Coturnix japonica: one gene and its partner. Each later gene encodes a partner of the first gene's protein in a complex. Links are inferred from orthologs where the notes say so. Each region holds a gene or a part of one and is shown on either strand. Other genes may lie near its edges.

What was found.
Region 2: the proteins of NADPH--cytochrome P450 reductase (region 1) and HMOX1 are in contact, whole or in part, in a crystal structure (PDB 3WKT), measured with the Rattus norvegicus proteins. The link is inferred for Coturnix japonica from reciprocal best matches to the Homo sapiens genes POR and HMOX1. Residues at the interface, in NP_113764.1 of Rattus norvegicus: Thr88, Thr177, Asp208, Asp209, Arg313, Arg514, Lys515, Gln517, Arg519, Leu520, Phe522, Lys523, His626, Lys665, Met667, Thr668, Lys669, Gly670, Tyr672; in NP_036712.1 of Rattus norvegicus: Asp12, Ser14, Glu15, Gln38, Ala75, Pro76, Glu81, Lys149, Ile150, Lys153, Ser171, Asp173, Asn174, Thr176, Lys177, Phe178, Lys179, Gln180, Leu181, Arg183, Ala184, Arg185, Asn187, Thr188.

The regions. Positions count from the first base shown.
Region 1 is NC_029534.1:3,220,463-3,224,269, forward strand, and holds part of NADPH--cytochrome P450 reductase, read right to left. Parts: intron 3,635-3,807; coding exon 3,485-3,634; intron 2,861-3,484; coding exon 2,736-2,860; intron 1,881-2,735; coding exon 1,791-1,880; intron 1,454-1,790; coding exon 1,355-1,453; intron 724-1,354; coding exon 607-723; intron 363-606; coding exon 244-362; intron 1-243. UniProt on the Homo sapiens protein: This enzyme is required for electron transfer from NADP to cytochrome P450 in microsomes. It can also provide electron transfer to heme oxygenase and cytochrome B5.
Region 2 is NC_029516.1:47,610,634-47,615,203, forward strand, and holds the start of HMOX1 (heme oxygenase 1), read right to left. Parts: upstream 3,040-4,570; 5' UTR 2,931-3,039; coding exon 2,899-2,930; intron 2,640-2,898; coding exon 2,519-2,639; intron 496-2,518; coding exon 4-495; intron 1-3.

The DNA of each region.
Region 1 (3,807 bases):
TCTGGTGGGCTGGTGCTCCGTAATTAGGAGCGTGTTGTTACATAATTTGTTGTTGAATGGGCACAGCAAACATGTCACAGCTGATCCACTTCAGCTGGCTTGCAGCAAACAGGCACTATGCCACTACTGCAAGATGCATTCAGAGTGGCCATGGGATGTCTCTGCCTGGAAGTGTCTTACAGGACCTGTGGGCGTGATGTAGTGGGAAGGACAGAGGCCTTGCATGAGTGGATCCATACTCACCATCCAAATTGTTTAGTGACATGATCGTATCCAGATCTGTGCCCAGAATCTCGCCAAACTGATTCACCAAAGATGCGTCATTGGCCGGATACACAGCCACGTGGTCCCCAGACTCATACCTGGTACAAGAACAGGAGGGGAAGAGATGAAATACAGGCACTACTTCTTGTCCATACCGAGCCTGAGATGCTCAGCTGGAGGACAGGCTGCTGGTTAGAAAGATAACACTGAAACTTGAGCTGCTGCACAGCACCTGCAGAACCAGGGACCCCAAAGAATCAGCAGTCATGGTAGTTGAGGAACCATCATTTTCTTTTCTACAGGGGAGCTCCAAAAATCACAGTAGTTTTTCCCAGAACCTACCTGATTTTGGAATTGGAGATATCCAGCTCCAGGTGCATCAGGTGTCGTTCCCCACCTTCGTTCAGCTTACGGTTCTCTGTAACCACAGCCAGGAAGGGATTCTTGGCATCAAACGGCCTGGGAGGAAAGACAAGGTCCCTCTGGGTTACTCTCCTGCAGGCTCACAGGACTGCTTTCATCTAGATATGTTCCTTCTGTCTCCAGAGCAGGGTCCCACCATTAGAGCACGGAGCCATCCTGGCTCGTGTTTCAAAGCACACCATAGCACAAAACTTATGCTGCTGCTACCCACAGTTGGCAGAGAAAACAATCATTTTCCTTCTAAGTACAGCCCGGCAACCAACAGCTCCTATCCCATTTAGAACAAGTGATGCAACAGCAGATTAGAGGGAGTGTCACCTCTCAAAATGGTATTTCAGGTTGTAATTCATTTACACAACCTCCCCACAACAATACTGCAAGCAACCATCACACAGTAACCACTCCAGGGGAGGAAAGGCTCTGACTGACCTCAGGACAAATGCTGCACACTTACCAGCCAAACAGCGTAGGAGAACACAGCCAAACTCTCAAACATGAATGACTCATTAACTGCGGAACCCTTGAGAGTCCCAGGGGACATCTGAACCCATTTCTCTTGGGCAGATGTCTGCCACGTGGCTGTGTTGCTAAGATGACACTGCCTGCATAGCTTGTGTAGTTAGAAACATCAAGAATGCCATTGGCAAAAGGCAAGTCTGGCACTTACGGCTTCTGGTTCTCGTAGCTCTTGAGACGGCCCATCTCTCCAGTGTACACCTTGTTCATGTTCACATCTGTGTGCACCACCAGCTCGTACTGGCGGATGCTGGAGGAGGAAAGGGGACAGAAGAGATAGGAAAAAATGTCAAATTGGTAATGACGAGACCCAATTGGAAACATCACCTGCTTTACTGGGTATGGTGCAGTTTAAACAAATGACACTTCCACCCTTCACCCATCTCAACACATCAGGAAGCAGGGTGGTAATGCTCAGTGCCCAAACCAAGGAGAACTGTCTGTTGGGAGCACTGCAAATCTGTGTGTGCCTCAAGCCTGGAAGAAGCAACAGCTTGCAGGAAAGGGGACAGCAGCTCAGGCCTGATGGCACAGCCATCACGTGGCCAATCTTTCTGGCACCCAGATGAAAATGCTCCCATACCCACCTGGATTCCTCTCCTGTAGCCTCCACCCCAAAGTGCTCACACACTGCTGGCCAGAACTGCTCTCTCCAGGTGATGAAATCTTCTTCCAGGCTGGATGAGGAGAAAGAGAGTTTTAACACTCCCGCTCAAGAGGAAGCAGAGGGATGTTCCCAGAAGAGCCAACTGAGATCCCTATGGAATTCCTCCTTCACCATAGAAAAAGGCATCTGCCTGTTCTCTCTACATGCTCACACATCACCAGAAGAGCATCTTCAGAGCACTGAGTATGAGGAAAGGAACTCCTGCTACACCTCCCTTCACAGCCACAGAAGGCTGGAACTCAGGCTCGGTGTCTTTGCCCATCTCAGCATCCCATTGCCCATTCCTGGCATGAGGTCACCTTCCAGATTCCAATTTTGAAAAGTCTATTTTCCTGAATTCAGAGCCTCCCACACAGGGCAGATCCCTCTAATCAGATCTTGCTGTCCTTGGAGGCAAAACTACAGGTTAATGTAATTCGTGACATTAAGCTTCTGCCAAGAGGTTGTTCAGGTAAATACAAACAATTTCTCTTGGACTCTGAGTTGGAAAACTGCTGCATTCAACCATAAAATAAACAGCTCACAAGGAGATGGAGCTTGTCTCATCTGCAGGGATGAGAGGGCTTCTCCATGCAGGCACAGATATCAGTGGAGCTGCAGAAGTGCGAAGGCAGAAGAAGCTGTGAAGCCTCATGAAATATACAGTTATGGTCATTTAAAGCTGATGCTGGATTTCAGCAAGGTATACAGGGTATACGTGACTGATTTATATGAGAGAGAACAGACACACTCAGGGACATGGCAACCACCATAACTAGCCCTAAGGAGTTTGCTTCTGTCTTAGCAGTAGAGCCAACACATTGCCAGGGACCCTTCTGTGATGCTACAGCCAGTTCAGAGCAACCCTTCAAGCTGAGCTACTCACTTGCCATCATCATCTCCCAGCCCAAGCTCAAAGATGCGCTGGGCTCCAAGCTCCTCCAGTCTCTTGTCCACATATTTCCCCATTGCATTGAAATGCTCATAAGTCTTGTTCCCCAGCCCAAAGACCTGAAAGAGAACACTGATAGTCAAGGAGAAGCAGGGACTGGATTTCCTCCATCAGACAGCACCCTCTGTCCTTCCCCTCCTACAAACCACCCAGCAAGTGCTTACAAACTGCTTCTTACAGAGCAGCTTAACATCTCCAGCAGTGCATTTTCCTTTCATTTGCAATTGTGATGCTGCCTAAGGAATTTGGCTGGCGTTCAGGTGAGGTGGCTGTATCTCAGCCAATTATTCAGCGGAGCACAGAAAAAGAGCCACACACTCCTCCAAGCAATTTAATTTGTGAGAGAAGATCTAGCCAAAGGCTGCTCAATTAGCTCCTGAACAACAGCAGCAGCCTGTAACTCATTTACAGACCGTATATTCAATGTCTGCTGGGCTGTTTGGGCAAACCCTCGTGATTCAGGGAGAGGAGAGAGCTCTCTGACAGCTACATTTAAAACACGTAGATATATGTTTGCAAACATCCGTGCAGCTTGGAGAGGAAGACAGTAAGGACAGCATCCAGAACAGGCGTGGAAGGCATAGACATCATGTTGTGTTTTTACCCAAGCCACGTGCAAGTGCAGTGAAAGGCTTTTGACTTTCCTGCCCAAATACAGCATAAACTGGAATTAAACCACTTACTGCAAAGCGGAGACCTGACAGGTCAGCATCAGCCTCCTGCAGCCAGTCGTAGAAGTCTTGGGCATTGTCTGTAGGATCACCCTCACCATACGTAGCCATACAGAACACAGCCAAGGACTTGTCAATCTCAGAGAGGCGACTCAGGTCCGACTACAACCAAAGCAAAGAATAAATCCTCAATGATCACACAATGTGATTATTGGGCAAGCCTACACCTACACTGCAGCTACACCCCTGGTGCGCAGAACAGCACTATGCCATGTCAAATAACTGCTTACAAAAGGGATTAGGAAAAGGCCAAACCCACCTGAAATGGTAAGGAA
Region 2 (4,570 bases), on another chromosome or scaffold:
CACCTGTATATTTAGCAGGAATGCTTTCTTGGCTTCCTCCAAGACTCTTTTCTTAGTAGCATGATCCATCTCAAGGGCGTTCATGCGGGACCGATAGAGCTGCTTGAACTTGGTGGCGTTGGAGACTCCATCGAAGGTGAAGAAAGCCAACCCTTCTCCAGTGCTGGGCAGCTGAAGGGCTTTTTGGGCAATTTTCTTCAGCACCTGCCCCCCAGACAGGTCTCCCAAATAGCGAGTGTAGGCATGGGCCACCAGCAGCTCTGGATTCTTCTTGCCAACGTAGTGGAGCCTCTCAACGTATTTCTGAGTAGCCTCAGGACATGGGATCTCTGCCCTCCAGTTGCTGCCATAGAAGTACTCCAAGTCTTTCTCCAGGGCATCTTTCCGATGTAGCTCCGTCGGAAAATAAACAGGAGCGTAGACAGGGTTGTCCTTGTTACGTTCGATCTCTTCCTCCAGAGCAGAGTAGATGAAGTACAGGGATGCCGTGACCAGCTGAAACAGAAGAGGATGAGCTACATGTGAGTCTGTCTGCTTTTGGGACAAATCCCACTAACAAATAAGTTACTCATGCACACTCAGTATTACACTATGCGGTATATATGTTATGTTGCAGGTTTCCTGGACAGCAAATGGAGATGCAAGGGGCAGTGAGACACCATCTAGCCCATTTCAGCAGATGCTGGCCTTACCTGCCCTTAAAAGCTGCTGCCTTCACCTTCGAGTTAAAGTTCTCCCGGCTTGACATAACAGAAACTTAAGTCACTCCTCACCTGCTCTCTTCATCCCCCCAGCCAATATAGAGAGCATTCCCAAAGGCACATTTCGTAGTGTACTGCTCCAATCTGAATGCTTACAGGAATGGAGGCACCCCTTTGCCTCATTCAGCTTCATTGGGGAATGCCTCTTTGGTTGCCCCAGGGAGACAAGATATAAGGGACAGGAGGCCTCTGAAAGATGCCTTTGTGAAGGATCACTGTGCAGCTATGTGCTCATCCCTCTGTTTTGAAACCACTGTTATTGTTTTTCCCAGCTTACATGCTATTTTCGTCTATATCTGCCAGCTTTTCCACGTGGCATAAGACAATCTGGCTGTGTTCTTCCCTTCCATGGGCACCCTGTTTGTAGAGGCTGTGTACGTATCTATATCCCCACTTCTCACTTACACTGAAATCCCTTATCGGCAGCAAAGCGTAGAACATGGAGGTACAGAGTCAAAGTCAGATTGAGGGGAATTAGAGAGAAAGCAGTTTACCCTCCCAACAGAGGGATCAGTACTGCGGGAATGATTTCAGCTTTTCACCACTGCAAACAGGACTTTGATACACACACAGGCAGTGACTTTGTTGTGGAAACTGATCTTCAGATCCCAGGAGTCACATGTCAGGGCAGGTAAATGGGTTTGCCAAGAAGGTAAATAAGGGGGGAAAGAAAGATGTTTTTAAACAATAACTCATTATTGGATTGGAACCGAAACAAAAACGTTGCCCAACCAATGAGGAAAGATTAACTTGGCCGGTTGTTTTAAGTGGTTCAGTGGGGAAGGTGGCCTTTGGAAACTGCTATTGCTATTCAAAGCCCGGCGTCACGTCCCATTTCCCATCACTGGGTAAATATTTTCTGGGAAACCAAGCCGTGCTCCTGAATCTCAGAGGCCTTTCTTCATCACCGGCTTGTCTCAAAGTCCACTGCCCAACGAGTGCCCCATTCCTATCAGCGGGAAGTCAGCGCCTGCCATTGGATTCATGCTTGACTAAGTGCTGTGAATACAACCTGTCAGAAATAAATGGACTAATTTCTGTTCTCGTGCATTTATCTATTGAGGAGCTATTGGACAACAAAGCAATTAAACCACGGGCTGGATCGTTAGCTGTTATTTGCAAAGCCGTGCGTCAGGTCCTCCGGCCTCCTGGGAATTTCTCAGCCAGGTGTTTGCATTGTTTTTGCTCACGGCTTTGTTACGTGGCTCAGATCCATCCTGTTCCTAGCCAGGACGCAGACTAGTACCGGCACATAGCTCTTACACTTCAAGCAATGCAACAGGCTCCTACCTGCTGGCAGCAGGCACAGCTTGCTCCAACTCACTCTGCCTTTGAGCAATTGCTCCCGATCTCAGCTCTGCTATAACCCCAGTGACGGCTAAAACACTGTCAAGTGTGGTGCCAGAGATGATCTCACAGCCTCACTTCATTGCTATTCCATCGTTATTTCTAGCTGTAACCGCTTAGAGCACTCTAAATTCACGCTCCATTCATAGAATCACAGAATCATTAAGGTTGGAAAAGATCACTGAGGTCATTCAGTCCAACATCAGCCCACCCCCACCATGCCCACTGACCACGTCCCTCAGTGCCACATCCACACAGCTCTGAACACCTCCAGGGATGGTGACTGCACCACCTCCCTGTGCAGCCTGTGCCACTGCAGCCCCCATATCCAGTCTGACCCAATACCTGCCCACTCTTCTACCTCTTTTAACTACATGTGACAGTAGCTCTGCCGTGCTGTTACACCCTACCTTGAACTCGTGGAGGGACACCTGTCCCTTCTGGAAGTTCTTCATGAAGGGTGTGTTCTCTGCCTGCTCGTGCACCTCCTTGGTGGCTTCCTTCAGGAGCTCCGACAGGTCCTGGGACATGCTGGGTGAGGGAGAGAAGCAAAACAGATGTCAGTGTTGTTGCTCTGCTCCAGCCAAAGGGACCTTAGGAAAAGGGGGAGCCGGGGACAGCAGGAAAAGGAGCCGAGCCGGGGACAGCATTGCCAGCATTCCCCCTCCGTCCTGAGCGGGGAGCACGGCCAGAACGCATCCAGAGGTGAGAGGAGAAGCGCAACTGAAAGCAGGGCTGAATACAGCACTGCCGGCTGAGCGCTTCCGTCTCCTCCCCGTCCCGCTCTCACCTTTCAGCGCCGTGTGGCTGCGAAGTTTCCATCCTTCTCCGCCCGCTCTCGAGCCTCTGTTTCCCTCTGGTTTCCTTGTTCGAACCCGCTCCCGGGACGAGAAGCGCTGCGCTTTGTACCCGGCTCCTGCTCCCGGCTTTATACAGGCGAGCCACGTGAGCAGCACAGCCGCTGACCTCATGTGAGCGCGCTTCTTGCAACACGCTGCACTTCCCTTCCCACTGCTGGGCCCCCCCGCAGCCCCCAGGGACGGCTGGGAGGGCTGGAGGAATTCACCCCTGTAACAGCACCAAGGAGGGGATGCAGCTTCTGCAGCATCTGCCCTAGAAAGAGGCTGGTGTCAATGTTTTATCACCCACGGCTGTGAGCATCTTCAGAGCCTCTAAAGGCACAGGGAGCTTTGCATACTGAATTGGTGCGGCAGGTGGGCCCTGCAGTGAGCAGCACCATGTGTGAGGTGGTAGAGGAGGACAGCAGGCCATCCCCTCAATACCCTCAACACCCTCAGTACCCTCAATACCCTCAATACCCTCAATACCCTCAATACCCTCAATACCCTCAATACCCTCAATACCTTGGGGCTTGTCCCGTCTGCTGTGTGCAGATTACCAAGGTGTGATGCAGGGCTTCGGGGAGACTGAGGCAGGCTGCAGATATTTGCGAAAGCAAATAGGTTCTCTGATGTAGGACAGGAGAGTTGGACAAGGTGCTCCTGCTAGTTGCTGGCTGCTCTGCTGTTTTGTCTGCTGCGTCAGCCAAGGAGGCAGCCCGCAGATGTAGTGGGGCCCCTCTTCCATCTGGAGCTATGCTGGAAGCTCAGCTAACCAGGACGGGGAATGCATCATTCATCTGTGCTTTGGGAAAGCACACATTCTGCCTTGGAGCCAAAAGAGTGGGGCACTTAAAGCCATCATTACCCTGCTGCCATGGACTGGAAAGGGGGTCTTCTGTCTATCTGGCCACCTGGATTTGGGTGGGCATCATATGTCCTCTGCACAGCTGAGCTCGGTGCAGTGTTTTGGGGTGGCCTGGAGGGATTGTGCACGCACACAGCTCTGTGCTGGGCTGACATCTGGAGACTGTGCACACTCAGGAAGGATTACTCAGCGCCCCCAGCCTGACTCAGCCATGCTTTTCCTGTCTTGCTCTGCTCTTTAAAGCTACAGAGCGCTCTAGCAAAAGCTGGCTCTTACCCTTAGGCCACTTAATGCGTATTTTGCTATTGGATAAAATATATTTATTGGGATGTCCAATTCTTTGAAGCAAGCATGAAGAAACCTTTAACATCCCCTGGCTCCTAGACAGAGGCCAGACCTGCCTCAAGACATCAGTGCAATTTTTGCCACTGGACTGGCTTTGAAATGAGCATTTTCCACTGGCATCATGTGCTTACAGCACAGTTCTCACTTCTTTCAATGAGCCCTATTTGGACATGGGAAACTGGAACACACTGAGCCTATAATTCTGCTCAGGGGAACAAGGAAAGATATGAAACTGAATGATAGTATTCATTACATGAGTGTGTAATAATATGACAAGCTACCCTCCCTAAACCATATTCCTCCTTTCATCCATGCTCTAAGATCACCCGGTCCAACCATCAGCCCATCCCCACCATGTCCACTGACCACATCCCTCAGTGCCACATCCACACGGCTCTGGGACACCTCCA